Linked DNA regions of Mus musculus: regions 2, 3 and 4 are each reported to be linked to region 1. Evidence: microRNA targets listed by miRTarBase, many of them from high-throughput screens and not tested one by one. Region 1 holds a microRNA gene; each other region holds the end of a gene's coding sequence.

What was found. Region 1 holds the annotated microRNA mmu-miR-30e-5p (UGUAAACAUCCUUGACUGGAAG, at 2,439-2,460, opposite strand). A microRNA usually pairs through its seed, bases 2 to 8, with sites in the 3' UTR of a target mRNA and lowers its output. Matches are read on the target gene's strand: a 7mer-m8 pairs with bases 2 to 8, a 7mer-A1 pairs with bases 2 to 7 and ends in A, and an 8mer does both.
Region 2: the mRNA of Araf is a reported target of mmu-miR-30e-5p. The part of its 3' UTR that is shown has no 7-base or 8-base seed match.
Region 3: miRTarBase lists Oga as a target of mmu-miR-30e-5p. Seed matches in the 3' UTR shown: 7mer-m8 at 1,353-1,359.
Region 4: the mRNA of Rev3l is a reported target of mmu-miR-30e-5p. Seed matches in the 3' UTR shown: 7mer-m8 at 1,001-1,007 and 7mer-m8 at 1,260-1,266.

Annotation. Positions count from the first base shown.
Region 1 is chr4:120,770,222-120,775,369 of GRCm38, forward strand. It overlaps Mir30e (microRNA 30e), which reads right to left and starts at 2,476; the gene lies at 2,385-2,476. It overlaps Nfyc (nuclear transcription factor-Y gamma), which reads right to left. Exons shown (of 10, transcript NM_008692.4): 5 at 3,451-3,546. Mir30f (microRNA 30f) reads left to right here and starts at 2,385; the gene lies at 2,385-2,476.
Region 2 is chrX:20,859,300-20,864,447 of GRCm38, forward strand. It overlaps Araf (Araf proto-oncogene, serine/threonine kinase), which reads left to right. Exons shown (of 16, transcript NM_009703.2): 15 at 386-520; 16 at 680-1,222. The coding sequence ends at 814. Syn1 (synapsin I) reads right to left here. Exons shown (of 13, transcript NM_013680.4): 10 at 4,285-4,431; 11 at 3,884-3,971; 12 at 3,200-3,791; 13 at 1,212-2,310. The coding sequence ends at 2,175. It overlaps Mir5617 (microRNA 5617), which reads right to left and starts at 3,883; the gene lies at 3,827-3,883.
Region 3 is chr19:45,747,735-45,752,882 of GRCm38, reverse strand. Oga (O-GlcNAcase) reads left to right here. Exons shown (of 16, transcript NM_023799.4): 16 at 603-2,628. The coding sequence ends at 739. It overlaps Npm3 (nucleoplasmin 3), which reads left to right and starts at 3,318. Exons shown (of 6, transcript NM_008723.2): 1 at 3,318-3,444; 2 at 3,741-3,826; 3 at 4,014-4,133; 4 at 4,244-4,337; 5 at 4,603-4,719; 6 at 4,832-5,148. The coding sequence starts at 3,327. The coding sequence ends at 4,712.
Region 4 is chr10:39,873,264-39,878,411 of GRCm38, forward strand. It overlaps Rev3l (REV3 like, DNA directed polymerase zeta catalytic subunit), which reads left to right. Exons shown (of 32, transcript NM_011264.3): 32 at 821-1,943. The coding sequence ends at 961. Among named protein-coding and RNA genes, the nearest start is that of Mfsd4b4, 23 kb to the right of the region's middle.

The sequences.
Region 1 (5,148 bases):
TAACTGGGATCATGAATAACTAGCCTCTGAGACATTTCAATCGCAACATAACAAGGTTCCCCAATGGTCATCAACCCAGAACACAAAACTGTTCCTAACGTTCTGGTTATCCAAGCAAGTCTTTAAGCATAAGCTGACCTTCTGCGATAATGTAGTCTATGCTTCAAACCCACAGTTTCAGTCCTCAACCTTCAGCAGAGGTAAAAAAAATATATATATAGAGCTCCTTTTATTTTCTCAACTTCAAGTCAAAGCCAGGTCCATTTCAATTTTGGTTTCTTTTCCATTTTAAGCAAAAGTCAGCTGGCAACCATGTCTTGGCAGGGATACATACCAATACTCCTTTAGACCACAAAACTGAGGTCAACTGCTCTTTCCAAAGCTGTGGAAATAAGTTCAGTGTCTATTTTTCCCCTCACTGAGATCTCCCCTTCCTATTTTAGAAATAGGAAGGCCGGACTTAACAGTGGAAACACTCTTAGCTTATGAGAGTATTAAGAACTGAGAACACAGAGCAGCTGGGGACACGGTCCCTTCCTGCCTTTGACCTGTGATCAGCTCTAGGTGTCCATAATTACAACACTGAACAAGGGTTTTGTTTTGTTTTTCCAAGATAAAAAGCAAATTCTTTAAATACTTCTGCCAGAACCCAAAATAGTGCTTTAGCAAAAGCTCTCAGGCAGGCAGGTAGCCTCTCCCATGTTTTCTACTGCATCCTCTCAGGTAATAATGACTTAGACAGTTTCTAGAACACTGTTGTCAGGACAAGCATGGCTATTTTCAAATTGCTGTGATGGAAGGAGGCACAAGTAAGGTTCTTCTGCTTTATGAAGCACTCATTCTGCAAATGGAGATCAAGCCAGCAGGAAATGATGATGCTTGATTTAAAGAAATGGGTGAAAAGATAATGACATTTCAATGAGCAAGGAACTTTCAACTCATAGCTTAGTCGGGGAGAAGTCAACCCTCAACTACCATCTACTTGCAGACAATCTACTTACTTCCATGGCAAAAAAGAGAGAGGGAGACTCCAAATCATCTCTGAGAAGCCTCATAATCCAGTGTCTCCCTTTCCAGATGGATCAGCACCAAGCCCTAGGAAAACACCTGACCGAATAGGTCAGTACAGAAAGGTACCTGCTCCATGCTAACACTCAGTACAGAAGGGTACCTGCTCCACACTAACAGTGGCTTCTCCAGTGCTGAGACTGAAAAACAGTGACAGTGAACAAACAGTATCACAGCACAGGGTCATCACTACACTGATGAGCAGCCAGCTCCAGACTAGGGGAAAAAATACATTTGCTTTAGTGGCAGGGTGAACTGCTGCCTCCTTCAGAGGGTGTGTTTTGGAGAGTAGGCACTTTTAAAGGACTTTAGGAGGTGCCAGCCAATTTGGAGCTTGGGAAAACTTCATGTCTACAGAGAATTAAAAAATGCTATCTTAGAATTTCAGGCCAGCTTTCAGCAATCTCAACCTTTTAAATGCCAGGCAGCAGCTGTCCTGAATAGGATGCCAATCAATAGCTCAAACACCTACAAAGAACTAAAACCAGGCAGCTAAAGGAGTGTTCTTGCTGTATACCTTTTAAAGGGAGATGGACTAAGTATAGTGGTCCATGCCTTGAATCCCAGCACTCAGGAGGCAGAAGCAGATAGATCTCTCCGAGTTCCAGAACAACCTGGTCTACACAGTCTAGTCTAGCCAGGGATACACAGGGAGAGCCTATCTCAAAAATCCAAACCAAACCAAAGAACAAAAGAGGGAGATGGGGTAGACCACCAGCAAATCTAACACCCTGACAGACCCAGAAGAACAAACAACTTTGGAGGAAGGTATAGGTCAGCAGCTCTCAACCTGTGGGTTGTGACCCCTTTGTGGGATGGAAAGATCCTTTCACATGGATCACCTAAGACTACTGAAAAACAGATAGTTGCATTAAAATTCATAACAGTAGCAAATTACAGTTATGAAATAGCAATGAAAAAAATTTTATTGTTGGGAGGTTATTACAACATGAGGAACTGTATTAAATGGTGCAGCATTAGGAAGGCTGAGAACCACTGGTATAGGATAATAACTTTCTCTTTAGTCATCTATTCAGCAGGCAGCCCATAGTGAACAATCAGTACAATAAGAGCAATGCCTGACTGCATCACAGATCTTACCACCTTGTCTTTAAAGGAAACTCCTGGTGGATACATGGGAGCAAAAATCCAATAAGGAAAACAGGCTCATGGTATTATCAGCTCCAAACGAAGAGAGACAGTCTGAGTTCTTGTGACTTCTCAGAGAGAAAGGAAGTAACCCAAGAAAAGGAGACAAGTTCATGGGCACAAACCTGCAATGTCTCAAAGCCGATGAGCGCAGCCGGGGACGACTGTGGCAGCCTGCCGCTGTAAACATCCGACTGAAAGCTCCTCTCAACACCTTACAGCTTCCAGTCAAGGATGTTTACAGTAGCAAAGACTGCCCAGAAAAATAAAGAGCTTCAGTGAGGCACAACCTGCTCCCATAAGGAGGTGACCCAGGGCTTGCTAACCCAAAAACCCTCATGCAGGGTCAGAATTAATGTCAATTAGGATGCCCACTTCTCCAACAGGTTTTCTGACTGGTTATTTGTACAGGTCAACATGGGGAGAATGGTTGTCATTAAATGACTCTAAACAGTATACTACAAAATAATTAGTTAAAAACACTTATATTTTATGAACAAAAATAAAACAAGCAGGACATGGTATGGCTTTACTTCTCTGAGGCATATTACACTAAACCTAGTGAATCATGCAAACTGCGTGCCTGAAACAATGAGCTCTATAGGACTGGGGTCTATCACAATCACAACTAAGTTATATGCACCCAAGTGCTGAACAAAACAAATGGTGTGATCTTTGGAGATGAACAGGCAGAAGAAGGGCAGACACTTAGTTCTTGTAATTAAAAAGAAAAATGTAAATGGTGGTTCTAAAACTTCACTGGACACCAAAGCATCTAGGGAACTTTAATTATTGATTCCTGGGGTCATGGGGTCATAGGTTCTGACTCAGTGGATGATGGGTAGAGTCATCACACTACAGAGACACAGCATAGAGTAAGAAAATAAAAGCCACTGGCTCCAATCTGATCACTATGCACAAAGAGGTTGTTTCTTAGAATCTGAAAACTGACTGGCTGAAAAAGCTTTTATTTTAGATGAAGAAATCCTGAACTGAGCTTCACCCCACTATCTGTGACTAGTCTTTTTAACTTTGTTCTCTCACTGCAACCCCACCCCAGAGGCACTGAGTTAAAAGTACCCATAAATGAGTAGAAGGAGATGCTGAGGATGATCTGGACTACGGAAGAGAACCACAAACAAGAAATGCTTTGGGTGGGAGGGAGGGAGGAGCTCCGGAGAGCATCTTGCCCAGGCCCTGGAGGTGGCAGCTGAGCAAATCCTCCCAGCTCACCTGGCGCTTTGGAGGTTTCAGTTCATCTCTTGGAACAATATCGATGAGAAAGTCGAACTGATCAAATTTTGTAATTGCCATGGCAATATCATTCCTCTGTAACAAAGAAAAACAAAGTTAAAAACTGGCCTAGGAAGAATCTAGTTCTTTTGGCTGTTATCCTTCAAGTAAAAGGACATGATCCTCTCCTATCCCCTAGTCCCAGTGTCTGGGATTAAACCTAGAGCTTTACACAAGCTAGACAGGTATTCTACCATTGAGCTATGCCCCAGCCCAAGGAGATGACTTTTAGACTGTACTAAAAATCTCTAGGTTTGTCTAGAGCTAAAAATAAGAACAGCTCAATTTATATCAGACTTGCTGGACAGAAATCAACGAAAGAGATACACATATCTCGTGCTCTAGGCCAGGACATCTGAGCCCTACTCACCACTATTTCTGCTTGTTCTGGTTTCAAAGCTTCCATAAAGTTGTAAAACCACCATCCTCTGGCTAATTCAGGACAAAGCCAGCAGTCTCAACTGGCATTCTGTGGTCCACAAGGTCAGCCCATCATTCACTTGTATGATCTTTTTAAAGGCCCTAAGCACTGTTTGTTGTTGTTGTTGTTGTTTTTCTTTTTACAGGCACTTATAATCCAGTCGCTTGATTTTTATGTTACCTATGGGTTTTAGTTTAGAAATCAAAACTGCACTGCTTAATGAATAGTTTAATCCGAATTTGAGCCTGAATACTCAAGCCTGAATTTACTATAGGTAGGTAGTGAACACAGAGCTGAAAAGAATGTCACAAGTGGACTTTCTCTTCAAGTCTGATATTATTCCCCTTCCTTTGAATAATAAAAATCAACACTTTTTCTCCCATATGATTTGTGTACTTTATTGAAAGTTTTAAGGTTAAAAAAACAAAAACAAAACCACTAAGCTCAAGTGAGTGATATAGTTAAGTATATATGGGAAAGTAATTTTTGAAATGTATTTAAAAATAGATCACTTTATGGCTGAAGTGAGAGGTATGATAAATTTGTTTTTCTTACTTTATTTATTTATTCATTCATTCATTCATTCATTCATTCATTTCCCCCCTTCCCTTCTTCCTCTTGCTCCTGGGCCCCACTTGCTCCCGGGACCCACTCACTCCAGTCCATAGGTTTTTTTGTTGTTTTTGTTTTTTGTTTTTTAAAAGTATTATTATCTGTTTCTCATTATGGATGGTTGTGAGCCACCATGTGGTTGTTGGGATTTGAACTCAACATCCAGAAGAGCAGTCAGTGCTCTTAACTGCTGAGCCATCTCACCAGCCCAATTTGTTTGTTTTTCAAGACATGGTTTCTCTGTATAGCCCTGGTTAGTTATCCTGTGGCCTGCTAAAGTAAAACTTTAACAGCAGAATTTGGGGAAAAACTAAACAGGTACGTACTATAAATCCTTGACAATAGCATAACAAGGAAAAGCAAACAAACTCAAAAACTCCTCAGCAACCTCTCGATCCCACATCTGAAGCAAAGGGCCAAAAGGAGTCATGGAAATGTTCTGTTTTTTCCTTCCCTAGTATCTGTCATGGTCCCAAGCCACTGAAATGCAAATCTCCAATCCACCCTTCTTGCCAACTACCAACTTCATAATAAACCCTCCTAACGAAGAAGGGCATTATCTTACAGTCTGCCAGAACTCATCTAAGATGAACACACTAGTATAG
Region 2 (5,148 bases), not on the chromosome of region 1:
GTATTTGAGCTTTGAGTACTACATAAGTAAGTCTACATAGACTTATTTATGCCCCAGACTCCTACAGAAATGGAAGTTTCCCCCAAGAAGTAGTGCTCTGCATTTTCCCGAATCTTAGTATTTTCTGAGCTTATGCCCCTTAATAACTCCAGACTCCTATTGTTCTGGGCCATACACACCTACAGTCTTTGACAGCCTTAATATAAATCCCTCTCTTTTATCAGCAGAAAATCCTCCCTAGTCCTCAGGGACACAGACTCCTCTGGGCCTTAGTACTAGACACCTCTAGTCCTCAAAAATTAACCTAACATATATTTTAAGATTCATAGATCCCTGGGCCTCCCAGCTCAAACCCCAAATCAACCCATTCCTCCCCACACACCAGATCATCTTTATGGTGGGCCGTGGCTATCTGTCTCCGGACCTCAGCAAAATCTTCAGTAATTGCCCCAAAGCCATGAGGCGCCTGCTGACTGACTGCCTCAAGTTCCAGCGGGAGGAGCGGCCCCTATTTCCCCAGGTGGGCTGGGTAGGAGGGCTGGATACCTTGGGGAGATGCACTGTGAGTAAAGAGATAGAGGCAGATATTGAATGTGAACCATGTTGAAAGCTGGGGATTGGGGATATTGGAGTATCTCTGGGACTCTGGACACCCCTCTTCATCTCCACCCGCTCCCAGATTCTGGCCACGATCGAGCTACTGCAGCGGTCACTCCCCAAGATTGAGCGGAGTGCCTCCGAACCCTCCTTGCACCGCACCCAGGCTGATGAGTTGCCTGCTTGCCTTCTCAGCGCAGCCCGTCTTGTGCCTTAGACCTCACTCCCAGCCCACCAGGGAGCCAATTTCAGCATACCATGCCAAGGCACACCGACCTACCAGCCAATAACTGTTCTGCCTCTGCCTTGATACTGCCTCAGGATTCCCTATCCCATACCCTGGGAAATTTGAGGGACCCCAAAAACTGAGGTCTCCTGCTTTCTCCATAATTTGGTCTCCTCTTGGGTTTGGGGATAGTTCTAATTTGGAGAGCTGTTTTATCTCCAATGGCTGTGACTCAGTGCAAGGATTCCACTCAGAACCTCTTTCTAAAGTTTTTGCCTGATGTGTCTTCACTGGATTTTGGGGTTCCCAGCACCCCATGTAGATTTGGGGGTTTCTTTTTGTCTCCCCCACTATTCAAGGACTCTCCTCTTTACCAAGAAGCACAGAATTCTGCTGGGCCTTTGCTTGTTTATTTTGCTTCCCGACTCTTCTCTTGGGGGTTCAGAGCCGCTGAGGGGTGGGGCAAGTCCAGGCAAGGAGTGGAGGTTGGAGGAAGATGCAGACCACAAAAACAGTGCCACTGTACGCATTACCACAGGCGGCATGAATGAGGACCACATATGCCAAGCATGGCACAAAAGGAGGCCAAGTCAGTCACAGATAAACACATTGGCAAAGGTAGGGGAGTGGGAGACCACAGGCCTTCCTTGTGCAAAGGATTCTGAGGATGGGTGGAGTTTGCATATTTAAAGACAGCTGTCAGAGGCAGGAAATTGGGGAGGGGTTTCTGGAGGAGGGAACTTAGGGGTCCTAGAAGTGGAAGGAACTTCCAGTATATTGAATGGGATGGAGAGGAAGAGGTGAAGGGAAGTCCTTGAGGGACTGCTTGGTGGATGGTAGGTGGCATTTGAAGATGTGGATCTCCAGAGAGATGACCTATGGAAGAGGTTTAAGGATAGGGGCTTCTTATGGAATTGGAAATTTCTGATTAGGAGCAAGGTGTGTTGGAGAGATTCAGGACCAAGAGTAGAATAGGGTTTTTCAGGAATTTCAGAGCTCCAGGAGAGGATTCGATGTATTAGGTCAGAAACAGGTTTTCTGCCATTCAGGAACTTTCAGGGAAGAAATCACCCTTTAGATGTACCAGAAGTAGAGGTCTTCAGGAGTTTGGAGGTTCTCAAACAGATCTGGAGGTGACCAGGAACAGGATTCTAAATGGACTTGGGGATTCCCAAATGTGAGAACTGGATTTAGGACCAGGTTTCTCAAGGGACATACTGAGGAATGAGAAGTGGGCTCTAGGAGAACCAGGAGAGGGGTTCTCAAGGGATTTGGAGGTTCCAAAAGTGAGAAATGGACTCAGGACCCAGAGAGGGCTGTCTAGGGGTTTAGGGGTTCTCAGAGTGGGATGTCAGTCGGAGAAGAGGCTGGCGAAAGACTTCCTCAGGCTGCGGATGGTCTCAGCTTTCACCTCGTCCTGGCTAAGGCTGGGCCTGGGAGGGGCTGGCTCTGGAAGGTTGAAGGCATTGGTCAGAGACTGGGATTTGCTAGAGAGAGACAAGGTGGAGGCATGGGAGGAAGGGGGAAGAGGAAGGGGAGGAAGGGAGAGAAACACAATGTTACCCTAGGCCCAGCCCCAGCCCTGCCCCTCTGATCCTGAGGCTGTGCCTGTGACCTTCCCACCCCCAAGCATGCCCCTGAACCCTGATGGATTCTCAAGGGTGATGAAGCTGAGACTGAGGCGAATGTGGGGTCAGCTGAGAGGACTTAGATATAAGATAAAGTGGTGTGGTTTAATGGGAAGATTCCTTGGTCAGTTTGATATGGAGGATGAAAGGAGGGGTTCCAGCAAGGAGCCTAGGAGGAGCCTGGGCTAGGGACAGTCTAGTATGAGGTAAGCCAGTCTGAGGGGGAACAGATGGGGTGGGGGTGGGGGCCAGGGAAAACTTTGGAGCTAAGGGCTAGGGGAATAGAATGGACAAGGAGAAGCAGAAAGGATGGTATGATCTGGGAGAGTTTGAAGTGGCAGGAGTATCTGGCAATGGACCAGAAAGGAGTCTTAGGGAAGGTTTGAGGAAAGGCTGAAAAGGGAAATGATGGAAGGCTTGCTGCAAATTGGCCTGAGGGAGTTCAGGGCTGTCTGGGAGGAGGGTGATAATAAGAGATCAGATGGACAGGGAAGTACTGGAAGTAGGTCAGCCAGGCTACTGGGATGGGCCAAAGGTCTGGAAGGGGGACTTTCCCAGGGCTTGTAGGGGAGGAATCTGAACTGGAAGTGGAGATGCTGGGATTCTCCCTCAACTGCTGGGATTGAGACAAAAGGGGTTTGGCCCAGGCAAAGGAGATCTGGTTTTCCTTGGGATCTGGGGATGCCCTACTGGGGACAGTGCACTCTGTGAGCAGCAAAGGCCAAGGCTGCTATAAAGGTCCCCTTACTTGAGCTGGGGGTGCGGGGGTCCCCCGGCAGCGGCGGTGATGGGTGGTGGCACATCCTGGCTGGGTTTCTGGGCCAGCTGTGGTTTGGCGGGACGTCCAGCAGGACCTGGGCCGCTGGGCCGGGGCTGCTGTGTGGTGGGAGGCCCAGTGCGAGGTCCGGGACCTGCCTGACTGGCCTGACGAGTGGGACCAGCAGGGCCTGGGGGTTTTTGGGGAGGGCCCTGGCGCTGCTGCCCTCCGGGTGGGGCTCCTGAGGCCTTCGTTGGAGCTGGACCAGAGATAGATGCCTGACGGGTAGCCTGCGGGGCCCCCGCCTGACGCTGTGGAGATGGGGAGGCTGGTGGGCGCGCTGCTGGAGGTGCTCCAGGGCCTCCTGCCACTGGCCGCGACTGGCGGCCTTGACCCTGGGTCACTGGTGTGGCCTGAGAGGCAGACTGCTGAGGTGCTGCGGTGGGACTTGGTAGGCGCTGAGGCAGAGGGCTGCCAGCTGGCGGTCCAAGGCCAGAAAGATGTTGCTGGCCTTGTGGGGGTGGGCGCTGCTGCAGCGGGGGTCCCTGGCGCTGAGGTCCTGGGCCTGGCTGTGGAGGGCCTCCTAGGAACAGAAAAAAAGAACAGCAAGTGAGAGTGAGTGAGAGCTGAGGCCGCCTGGGATGGTAGGAACCCAGAAGGCTTGCCCTCACTTACCCTGGGGTGGGGGTCGTTGTTGAGCAGGAGGACCTGCAGGCTGCTGGGAGGTCTGGCGGCCCAAGGTCAGGGCTCCTGGGGATGAAGACTGTGGCAGAAGAGTGGAATACAAGAGATTAAAAATAGTTACCGGAGAGTGGGAGCAACAGCCAATCAAAACGACATGGGTTCCCTGTGTGCTGGGTGTTGCCCCATTTGTGGCCAGTTGAGGGGATATGGAGCTATGAGGCCTCTCACCCCATATTTGGTCAGGAGACTCTTAAAGATGGCAAGGTAGCAGCAATTTAGTGAGGCCACAAGTGCATAAAGGTGACATTAATAGTCCATTGATACCACCTCTATGGCATCAGGTTGATGAAGGGCTGGCCTCCTTCCCACTAGCTCAAGACCAAGGGCCTGACCTGGCTGTGGGAGCCCCTGCCAGGGGAAGCATCCCGCTGCGGCTGCCGAGGCAGAGCCTGAGTCATCTTGTTGACCACAAGTTCCACGATGAGCTGCTTGTCTTCATCCTGGTGATCACCAATGAGTGGCATGGAGGAGCCCACCACCTATGGGAGGGAAAAGGATCCAGTATTAGGGGAGGCAGGAAGTGCATGTGAGGCCACAGTGTCAACAACATACTTTCACTTGGCAAAAAAACATGGTGACTGCAAAGAGAGCTCTGTCTGGCTTCTAAGTGGCGCTGATTGTGCACTGTAAGGAAAGCCTGCCAGTTCCAAGGCTCTGGACAGCTTTGTGGGTGGAGTGTTAGAGCTGGCTCTGCAATCAGTGTCTATGGGGGCAAATCTAGCTTGCTACATGTTTTTCTATGGCTCATGAGCTAAGATATGTTCTATATCTTTTTCTTCTTATTTTAAAGGAAGTAGAACCACAACCACCCAGCAAGCCTAAAAACCACCAGTCTAACCCTAAAATCATAGGCAGGATCCTGCCTCACCCTCCCAAGTTGCTAGGATTACAGGCATGTACCATAGTTTAGGCTACCCTCAAACTCTTCATTAGTGCTGGGATTACCGTTTCCCGCTGCACCCAGCCTCCGATGGCTTTCAGTGGTTGGGGAAAAAGGTTTCATGTGTGCAAAAGATATGAAATTTAAACTCAGTGTACTTAAAAGTTATAGACATAAACACATGAGTTGTATCCATATGCACAGCTGCACAAATCTTCCATCTTGTTTGTGGCTGCTTTTATGGGACTGAATCAGAGTGCCAAACTGCATGGCCCACAAAGCATAAAATATGTACTGTTGGTCCCAGCTTTCACTG
Region 3 (5,148 bases), not on the chromosome of region 1:
TGGAACTCAAAAGTTGCACCTGCCTCTGCCTCCTGAGCACTGGGACTAAGGGGGCATGCAGAGCTGCCACTACCCACTAAGACTTTTCTTTCATGGGAAGAATTTTACTCACTCATTGTTGGCTAAGTATTAAGAATTGTAATGCAAGGGCTGCAGAGATGGCCCAGCGGTTACGAGCGCTGCTCTTCCAGAGGATCTGAGTTCAGTTCCCAGCAACTACATGGTGGCTCACAACCATCTGTAATGGGGTCTGATGCCCTCTTGTGGTGTGTCTGAGGACAGCTACACTGTACTCATATATATAAAATAAATCTTAAATATATTTTTAAAGTTAGGTATTTTTTAAATCAAAGTCAACCTGATTTAGTGAGTTCTAGGCCAGCCAGGACTATAGAGTGAGACCCTTTCTCAAAAGCAAAAACAAAAAAGACTTTAAAAAGTTGTCAGTCTGCGAATATAGCTCAGAGTTCCCCATTATGTACCCCGTTAATAAAAGTTATAATATGAAATTTAGGAATAGATAAAGCTGTTACCTGTATTAAACACGGTTCAAATCTATATGATACACTTACTTACATTTAAAACATTTGTTTTATTTCTAGGCTCCCGGGGGGCTTTCTGTGAAGTAAGACCAGATGATAAAAGGATTCTGGAATTTTACAGCAAGTTAGGCTGTTTTGAAATTGCAAAAATGGAAGGATTTCCAAAGGATGTGGTTATACTTGGTCGAAGCCTGTGACACTTGTTGGTACTGTGAACTGTCCAAAAGTCCCTTAACTCCGCCTTGTGGTTGGTGGTTGAGGTCTTCACACAGTTCAGTGTCTGGAGCTGGAGCGGCAGCAGATCAGCCAGTTGACTTGGAAACAAAGATGACTGTAAAGCGCACCCATCACCTTCTCAGATGCTCACTGGTTGGGAGAAGATAGTATTGCTGCATACCCCGTGCAGCTTGTGGTGTGCTCCTCTTTGGGTCTTGTGTTAGGGTCAGGGCCTCTTACGTGGGGCTCTCTAGGGAGAGATTCTTAAATAAATGGAGTCAGCACTATTTTCTGCATCCAGTGTGGTTGCATTTCTCACCTAAGAGCAACGAAGTTCACTCTCTTTACTCTCCTTGGTGTGCTGGATGAAATGTCTCTGTTCTTTGGAGACATGGCTGGAATGAGAAATTTAGTGAGTTTCAATTTGGGCAATTTTTCTGCTTTTTGTAAAGTTCTGGGCAACTGTCTCCTGTAACTGTTGGTTCAGGCCATTGAGCTTTGTTAGGGACAAATGTGCATTTGTTTGTGGCCAAGGCCTAAATTGACAAACTTGTAAATCTCTGTATATAGATTAGCTGTAACCCGACTGTTCTTTGTTTACTGTTTTATATATTATGGGGTTTTTTTTTCCTTTGAAAATGAAAGGTGTTGGTTTAGGATGGCACTTTGAATTATGTAAATCAGTGAATGGTAGATTTCCTTTACATCTGTCCTTTTCTTCCTAATAGTTTTTATTTTTGAAGTGCCTCCCACATAGGGTTAGGCCATGACTATTTAGGGTATGAGCACCTAACTTCTTATGACTCAGATATGTTGGGAAGTGCAGTAACTCCTGGGAATTAACCTTAATAGCAGATCCGCATGTGAAATGTTCTGACATTGTTAAGTAAGGGTAAGGGGACTGACCAGTGGTCTCCTTTGTCCTTGAACAGTTGTCATTTAATCGCAAAGACCTGTTAACTACTGGTTTAATCGAATCAGTCCTTAATTCTTGCATGTTTGTATCTAATTTTTAAAAGAAAGAATAAGTATATGTTAACAATATGTATACTTTTTCTTTTAATCAGAGATTCTGAAAACTTCATGTTATTTTAATTTAGATTTGGTGAATTTAAGGGTTTTGAGCATGAAGCTGGCACATAGTGTCTGCAGGATTATTATTCTTTAATCATGGCTAGCTATCTAGTAACGTCATAGATTTTCAACAGTCTTTTGTTACCTTGCTTTCCTCCAGTTCTACATAGCTTTTGAACTTTGAGCTGAGGGGGGAGAGAGAAGAGGGAGCTTGAAACATTTTCCTTTCTAGAACTCCAGTGTGAGCTTGTGAGGTAGTCTTTTAGCACTATATAGAGTGGACCCAGGGAGGCCCAAGAACCAGAGGCCCAAGAGTGTGCTGAAATGTGCCGCCTCCTTAGGGTGCGAACCTTTGCGATAGGATGTGCTGTGAAACCTAAGTCAAGGTTGGTTTTGAAGGCTGGGGTGAGGGGCAAAATTGTTACTAGATATTAAGACCGTTTAATGTTCCTTAGCGTTCTGAATCCATCTCATGCCTCAGTGAGAATTACAAGGTTTTATTCAGAGCGTTTCAGAGTTTCATACGGAATCAGGAATTGAACAAGTTGCTTTTTGTTTAATGTTGGCTTTCAATAATCACATGGGATGATCTTCTGGACATAAGTGAAAACATGTCCAGGTCTCTACTGTCATTGCTGTAGGATAAAGTGCTCTGCCATCTTCCATGGTTATGAATATTTATTAATGTTGGAATAACATTTCATTGTTTAGATCACAGCTCAGTTCCTATAGAAAACGAACTGTAAACCTATCTGCAGACCATGCAAGAGGCACAATAAAACTTGAAGTGAATGTGTGCTGTGCTGCTTTTTCTCTGGGTTCTCCCTTTTTTTCCCTCACATCTCTTGATCCCTTAGGTATCCGAAGCTATTTCAGTGTAGGCTGGATTGAAGACAGCCCTGCCCTCCTGCCTTCCACAGCAAAGATTTTTCTCAGAAAAGTACATTTGTTTTTGTTTTTAAGTAAGTTGCTCTGTTTACTACAGGTAAAATTTGTGTGAAGTTGGGGGGGGTGTCACAGAGTTCCTCACTGGAACATGGCTTCATTTCCTTAGATAAAGGAATTTTGGTGGTGGAGGGGGGGGGTGGGTCGCCTAAAGAGGAGGCTGTACTATGAACAGTAGTTGATCTCCACATCTGAGTTTAGGTCTTGGCTGTCAAGCCTCCAGCATGATCAGGAAGCGGGGGGGGGGGGGGGGGGGGGGGGGGTGTGAGTAAAAATGGCTGCTCCGTACCCCAAGTTTACTGAAAAAGGAGATACGAAAGGTTTACACTAACATCTGTATGTATATATCCCCGGGTTGGAAGAAGGGGCTTCAGTGAGTGGACGCTAACTTTAAGCCCTCGTGGAGATTTCTTCTGGGGCCTTGTTACCTGTCCTCGTGGAAGAGGCGACGACTGCTCCTCCCTGCTTCGTGTGGCGAGCGCGGCTCCTTTAATGGGCGGGACCGGAACTGGCTGAGGCGGGGGGCGGGGCGCTCACGGCCGTTTCAGCATGGCGGCCGGCGCGGCGGCTGCTTTAGCGTTCTTGAACCAAGAGAGCCGAGCCCGAGCTGGGGGCGTCGGGGGCCTGAGGGTCCCGGCCCCGGTCACAATGGACAGTTTCTTCTTCGGTATTGAACGCGGGAGTGGCAGAGTGGTACGGGGCGGGTGAGGCGTGGCCGAGGAAGGCGGCCGGGCGCCGCTGTGGCCGGGCGCAGCTGTGGGCCGAGGGCTCCTCGCTCGCTCGCCCTAACCGGTTCTTCCCGAGTGGGATGCCCGTCCACGTGTTCTGGGCGAGCAAGCGGCCGGTTCCCCCCCCGCCGCCGCGGCACATGGCCGGGTGGAGGGGACAGCGGAGTTTGTGGAGCGTCCTCGCGCGCTGTCCCCTCCACGCGTGTACCCAGGCGACACTCGCTGGCTCTTGCAGGTTGTGAGCTCTCCGGCCACACCCGCTCCTTCACTTTCAAGGTTGAGGAGGAGGATGACACGGAGCACGTGCTGGCGTTGAACATGGTAAGGGGCCGCAGAGGGAGTTGGAGATGCGGGGGGCTAGCCGACACTCCGCCTGTCGCCCCTCTCCTCCACCCTCTGGTCCCCGCATCCGGTGCCACTGGGACTAGGCCGATTTTGGGGTAAGACGCCTTGGCTTTGGTGTCAGCCCTCCCTCACTTGAGACGCTGAGGTTCTGCCTGCCTTTCAGCTGTGCCTTACCGAGGGGGCCACGGACGAGTGTAATGTGGTGGAAGTTGTGGCCCGGGATCACGACAATCAGGAGATTGCAGTTCCTGTGGCCAACCTCAGGTTGTCTTGCCAGCCCATGGTGAGTTGGAGCCGTTCATTCCTCTCGGAGTCTGGTGGGACTGAGAACTTCGGTATTGATCTCCAAGTGGGTGGGCCAGCACGGCTCAGCCCGTCATTCTTGTCTTCCAGCTCAGTGTGGATGATTTCCAACTCCAACCACCTGTCACCTTCCGCCTGAAGTCCGGTTCTGGCCCAGTTCGGATCACTGGCCGGCATCAGATCGGTGAGAAGAGTGGGCCCTCTCCACTCCCGACTTACCCCAGTCTCATCTCCTAGTGTGTCCTGCATCTCAGGCTATGGTTCCAGTATTCTGTGCCTCCCACTGCCTCCTTCAGGCCTGGGAACTTGCTGTACCCTGCCTGCCCCAGGGGTCCAACTCCAGCGAGGTGGGTGGGCTCTTTTCCATCTAGACTTGGGGACTCTGGGAGATGAGGTTCCCTGTCAGCCTAGCAGCTGAATGAGTGGCTCTATCCTTGTGTATCCACCAGTTTGTATAAACAACGACCTTTCTGAAGAAGAAAGTGATGATGAGAGCGAAGAAGATGAAATTAAGCTGTGTGGCATCCTTCCTGCCAAGAAGCACAGGGGCAGGCCTTAGCCCCCTGGTGAGTGTGTGGGTGGAGGGTGGGGTCGGTTGGTGGGATTCCCGAAGGATCTGGGAAGTTTAGGGGCAGCAGGTGAGGAGGAAGACTCTGACTTCATTCTTGCTTTTCTCAGATCAGGTAACTGCTTGCTACAGGTGCCATGCTCCGTATGTTCCTGGACAAGTTCAAGAATGGTTTTCTCGATGAAGAGAATAGGGGGTGGGAGGGAGGGATGGACTGTGGTTCCTGAGGCTTCCCTTTTCTATTGGGGTGGGACAACCTTTGAACACCTCTTCTGACCCACCTAACCCAGATTCAGTCCCCAGCACTGCAAAAAAAAAAACAAAAAACAAAAAACAAAAGAACATGAAGTTCAGAACACATTTTTAACACTTTGTACTTTTTTTGATAAATATCTAAATAAAGTGGTGTACGGTTGGTTGTTTTGCA
Region 4 (5,148 bases), not on the chromosome of region 1:
TCCTTGTAGATTTGTTTGTTGGTTTTTGGTTTTTTGAGAGAGAATGTTACAGCCCTGGCTAGCCTGGAACTCAGGACGCTCCAGAGTATAAGAATTATACTTATATAATTCTTATATATAAGATCTAATTCTTATATATGGCAGATTATAAGAATGTGCCAGTACCCCCATATCTCCACTGTGGTCTTATCATCCTGCTTGTTAGTGATGTTAGCTGCTTTTTCATATTTTAGGGGCTTGCCGTTAAGTTTGTTCATTGTAGGTATTTCTCATCACATGAATAGTTTCCTAACATTTTCTCCCAATCCACCGTCCTTTGCTATGCATAAGCACCTCGTTTAATAGAATCACAGTGTTGGTTCCTGCTTTGGTTGCTCATGTTTTCAAATCATGATCCTCAGTTGTGACTTTGTCAGCAGTGTGTGCAAGTCTCAGTGGCTTAGGTCAGTCTTGTAGGACTAGATCTGAGACAGGGCTTTTCCAGGTGCTGGGCTCTGGTTCAGTAGTCTGGGCAAGCACAGGTAGCCTGCCTGTGCCTTTCAGTGTAACGAGGTAGCATTGTAAATGAAAGTGAACCAAGAAATAAAATGAATCTTGAGACCGTTTTGTACTTTCCATGAAATATGGCTAGGCTTCTGAGATAGGAAACAGACAGAATTCTCTGTACTGAGTTAAGTTTGCCAGTTAACTGAGGTAGCAGAAAAGAAGGAATCTAAAAACCTGTTATTTACATAGGTGTGTGTGTGTGTGTGTGTGTGTGTGTGTGTGTGTATGTATATACACACAGAAGCATTCCTATTCTGTTTTCTTTCATCTTCAGATATGCAGGAACTGTACAGGTTCCTTTGACCGACATATCCCGTGTGTTTCCCTCAACTGCCCGGTACTTTTCAAACTCTCACGAGTAAACAGAGAATTATCCAAGGCCCCGTACCTGCGACAGTTACTGGACCAGTTTTAAGTTAGCAGTGTCACAGAATTCCAGGTGCTCTCTGCTCAGTGTTTACCACTCAGTTCCTCTGCATGGTGCTTTCTCAACCTCCATCAAGTCAAAGATGTTCACTGTCTGTCTGCCATCCAAGACTATGAAGATTTCTGCTAACGGGATTAAAAAGGATACATGCTGCTCTCTGGATAGCTTACTTCTTACAATGTACAAATTCCGCATCATTTCACCTTTGAACATTGTTTTATAATAATACAGGTGTTGGATTTGCTCCAGTTTATGTACCATCTTGTAAATCCATTTGAACAGATCATGTTTACTTCCCTGTGGAAGGAACACTGAAAACCTCTTAAAGTCATTCGTGTGTATTCCTTAAACTGTCTGTATCAGGATGTGTTGCTTAGAGATATCCACTCACTTTATAATTTTGACTGCAAAATATTTTGTAAATACACTTTTTTACTTTTCAAATAACTGAGTAAAATAATGTGCAATGAATTTTATACAATGATTTTCACGTTGTTGGTATATCTCCTCTAGGTTTTGCTTGACTCAAAGGTAGATTTGTTACTTTGATCAAACTGTGCAAATAGTACCATGTGTAGCATTTTTGAAACATTCTTTTCTAAAGACCGCTGTCTTGCTATAGCTACTAACGGGGCATTGTGAGGAACTGTGCAAAGACATTTTTGTTACAAACCTGTGGGCCTGTTGCAATACTTTAAAAATAAAATAAAAAAATTTATTCCATTTTGCTTGTTTTGTATAGACATTTCTATTGCTTCTAAATATGCTTAAAATATTTTCTTTCCTTATGTACTGTACAGTTAATCTTATTTGCCATCCCTTGAACACAAATGTGTATTTAGGATATTTGTATAACTGTATAAAATGAAAAAGGAATTATGTGGTCAGTGCATTGTTTTTTAAACTGGAAATCCTTTTGTTTTGAGAGTTAATAATGGAAACCAAATTAAAAATTGAATAAAATATGAAATACAGTGCTATGACTTTTATCTTAACATAAGCAGAATTCTCTTCATCGGTTCTATAAGCAACACGGGTTCCATCTAACCCTAGACTTTCCTAAATTCTAATGAGGTAAATTTGGGGCCTAGAGATGTAGCTCAATTGGTAGAGTACTTGCCTAGCATAGAGGAGGCCCTGGGTTCCATCCTCAGCACCACATAAACACAGCACAGTAAGCATGCGCTTAGGAGGTGGAGGCAGGACGGCCTGGAGTTCAAGGTCATTTACATGGTAGATCTGAGGCCAGCTGGGCTACAAAAGATCCTATCAAAATAAACAAACACCCCTCTACCTGTAACCCCAGACCTCTGGGAGGCTGAGGCAGGGCACCTGCAAATTCTAGTTCAACTTGGGCTACATGTAGTACGCTAGCTGTCTTGGAGGAGAATGGTAAACTTGGCTCATTTTTACAACCTGACTTCCATTCTTTTACCAAAACTTTGGGATTAGTGTTTTTTTAAGACAGCAGAATATTCTAGACAAAATTTAGCATCACCTTTTAGATCACATTGGTTGCTGCCAGTAAGAGGAAGTTCACTTCCATGCAGTCAGACTTTTAGATTAAGACTGCGGAGGGGAAACAAAGCAACATTTCCTTCCTTTTAAAAGCTTAAATGCCGATTATTTTCCCATAGAAAGGGCTCATAGACTGCCAGCTGCTTATCACCATGCAGGAGTTTCCCACTGCCAGGGGTTTTAGTTTTATTTTTATTTAGACAGGGTCTCTGTGTGTAGCCCCAGCTGCCCTGGAACTCACTCCGTGAAACAGGCTGCCTCTGCCTCCCCAGTGCTAGGATTAAAGGTGTGTACCACCATGCCTCACCACTGCCAGAATTTAAATACGTACTTTTATAAATAAGAGATTAACTTTCTGGAAATAACAATTATGGAACCAAAGAGATACAAATCATATCCTTCACAAGTCTTTTTAAACCATAGTCAATCCTCACTTTCTGGGATCTTTTTTTTATTTGTTGGGGGGGGGTGGGGGCTGGAGCTATCTGTAGTGTCAGAACTTTCACATGTATCATAGTAGCAAAATAGTATTTCAATAGTAATCATTTTGTATCATAAGTCAGCTGTTAATAGTTTTGTTTTTCCTCGGGTCAGACAGATCCATTTTTAGTAGTACTGAAGAAATTTTATTTTTTAGCATGTGTTCATTTATCTCAAAAAGAACTAGGAAAATTTTCCAGTGGGTAAAAATGTCTGTGCTTTAAGCATGAAGACCTAACTTCAAATCCCCAACACCTACATTAAATTTTTAAAAAGCCAGGCAAGGATGTATATTGAGAGGTGGAAATTCAGGTCCCATGAGCTCTGTAGTTAGCCAGCCTAGCAGAAATGACAAGAGTCCAGTTGGTTGAGAGACTCTGTCTCGGGGTAATAAAGGAGAAATTAATAAGGAAGACACCAGACATCGTGCTTTGGCCTCTGCATTTGTGAACACACACACACACACAAACTAGCTCAAAAGTAATTTCATTAAGCATTCCCTTAATTTGTTAAGATGTCTTGGGGTTTCCATTGCTGTGAAGAGGCATGATGACCAAGGCAACTCTTAAAAATTACTACATTTTTGGTGCTGACTTAAAGGTTCAGAGGTTCAATCTATTATCATCAAAGCAAGAAGCATGGCAGCATCCAGGCCAGATGGTGTTGGAGGAGCTACAAGTTCTGCATATTATGAAGGCAAGTGGGAAAAGACTGGCTCCCAAGTGGCTAGGAGGAGGGGCCCAAAGGCGACCCCCACAGTGACACTTCCAACAAGGCCATACCTCCTAATAGTGCCATTCCCTAGGCCAAGCATATTCAAACCACATTTCACTCCCTGGCCCCCATAGGCTTATTCAAACACATAAGTCTATGGGGGGCCATAGGTAAACAGCATAATGCAAAATACATTTAGTGCAAGTTCAAAAGTCCCCAAAGTCTATAGCAGTCTCAACAGTGTTAAAAGCCCAAAGTCAAGTCTTTTCTTAAACCCAGTCACTTAACTACAATCCCCTATAAAGTCAAAAGGCAGATCACATACCACAAACTTCACAAGGATATACATTACCACTCCAAAACAACATAGTGAAGGAATATGGGACCAGACCAGACCAAAAGAACAACTGGGCAAACTCCAAACTGCATCTCCATGTCTGATGTCAAAGCACATTCAGATCTCCAGCTCCTTTAATTCTTGTTGACAGCAACAAACTTTCTTCTGGGCTGGTTTTACTCTGTTAGCAGCTTTCCTTGGCAGGTATCCCATGACTCTAGCATATGTGACATCTTGGAGTCTACAAGGCAACTCAACATTAGATTCTTGTACCAGTGTCTAGGATCCACACATGATCCGGGCTCCTCCAAAGGGCTTGGGTTACTTCTCCAGCTTTGCCCTCTATAGCACTCTGACAACACTGTTGCTGCTGTTATTTGTGGTCATCCCATGGTACTGGCATCTCCAGTTGGCTGGAGTCTTCTACTGCAACTAGGCTTCACCAGTAGCCTCTCATAGGCTTCCTTCATGGTTCCAAGGCTCAACTTCTTTGCATGACCCCTTCAGTACTGGGCCATTAACTGCAACTGAGGCTGCACCTTCACCAGTGACCTTCCCAGGGCCCTCACAGTTCCAAGTCTCAGCTGCTCTCATTGGCCTTTTCATGCCTTCAAAACCAGTACCACCTGAGCAATTCTTACACACTACCAAGTCCAGCCACCTGGAAGACAGCTTCTTTGTGCTCTTACAAAACATGTCCCAGAAGATTTCACCTCAGTGATGCTGGTCTCTTCTTAATCACTGCTAATTTCTTAGCTCCAGCTAACCAGTTGTCTCAGTAGTCCCTTCTATTCTTGACTCTAAAGCCAAAGCGACATGGCAGAAGTTGCCTAGTTCTGCTGCTTGCTGGAGCTAGAACATGGCCCCTTTGTTCTATTACATTATCACCAGCTTTCTGTTATCCAACTCCTAAACTCTACATTTCTACAGAAAAAACATGGGCAGGCCTATCATAGCAATACCCAACTCCTGATACCAACTTCTGTCTTAGAGTTTCCAGTGCTACACTCAGAAGTTATAGAGACATTTTCTCAATTGCGGTTCCTTCCTTTCAAATGACTAGCTTGTGTGAAGTTGACATAAAAACTAGCCAGAGTACTACTCCAACATATACATTTGACTGGCT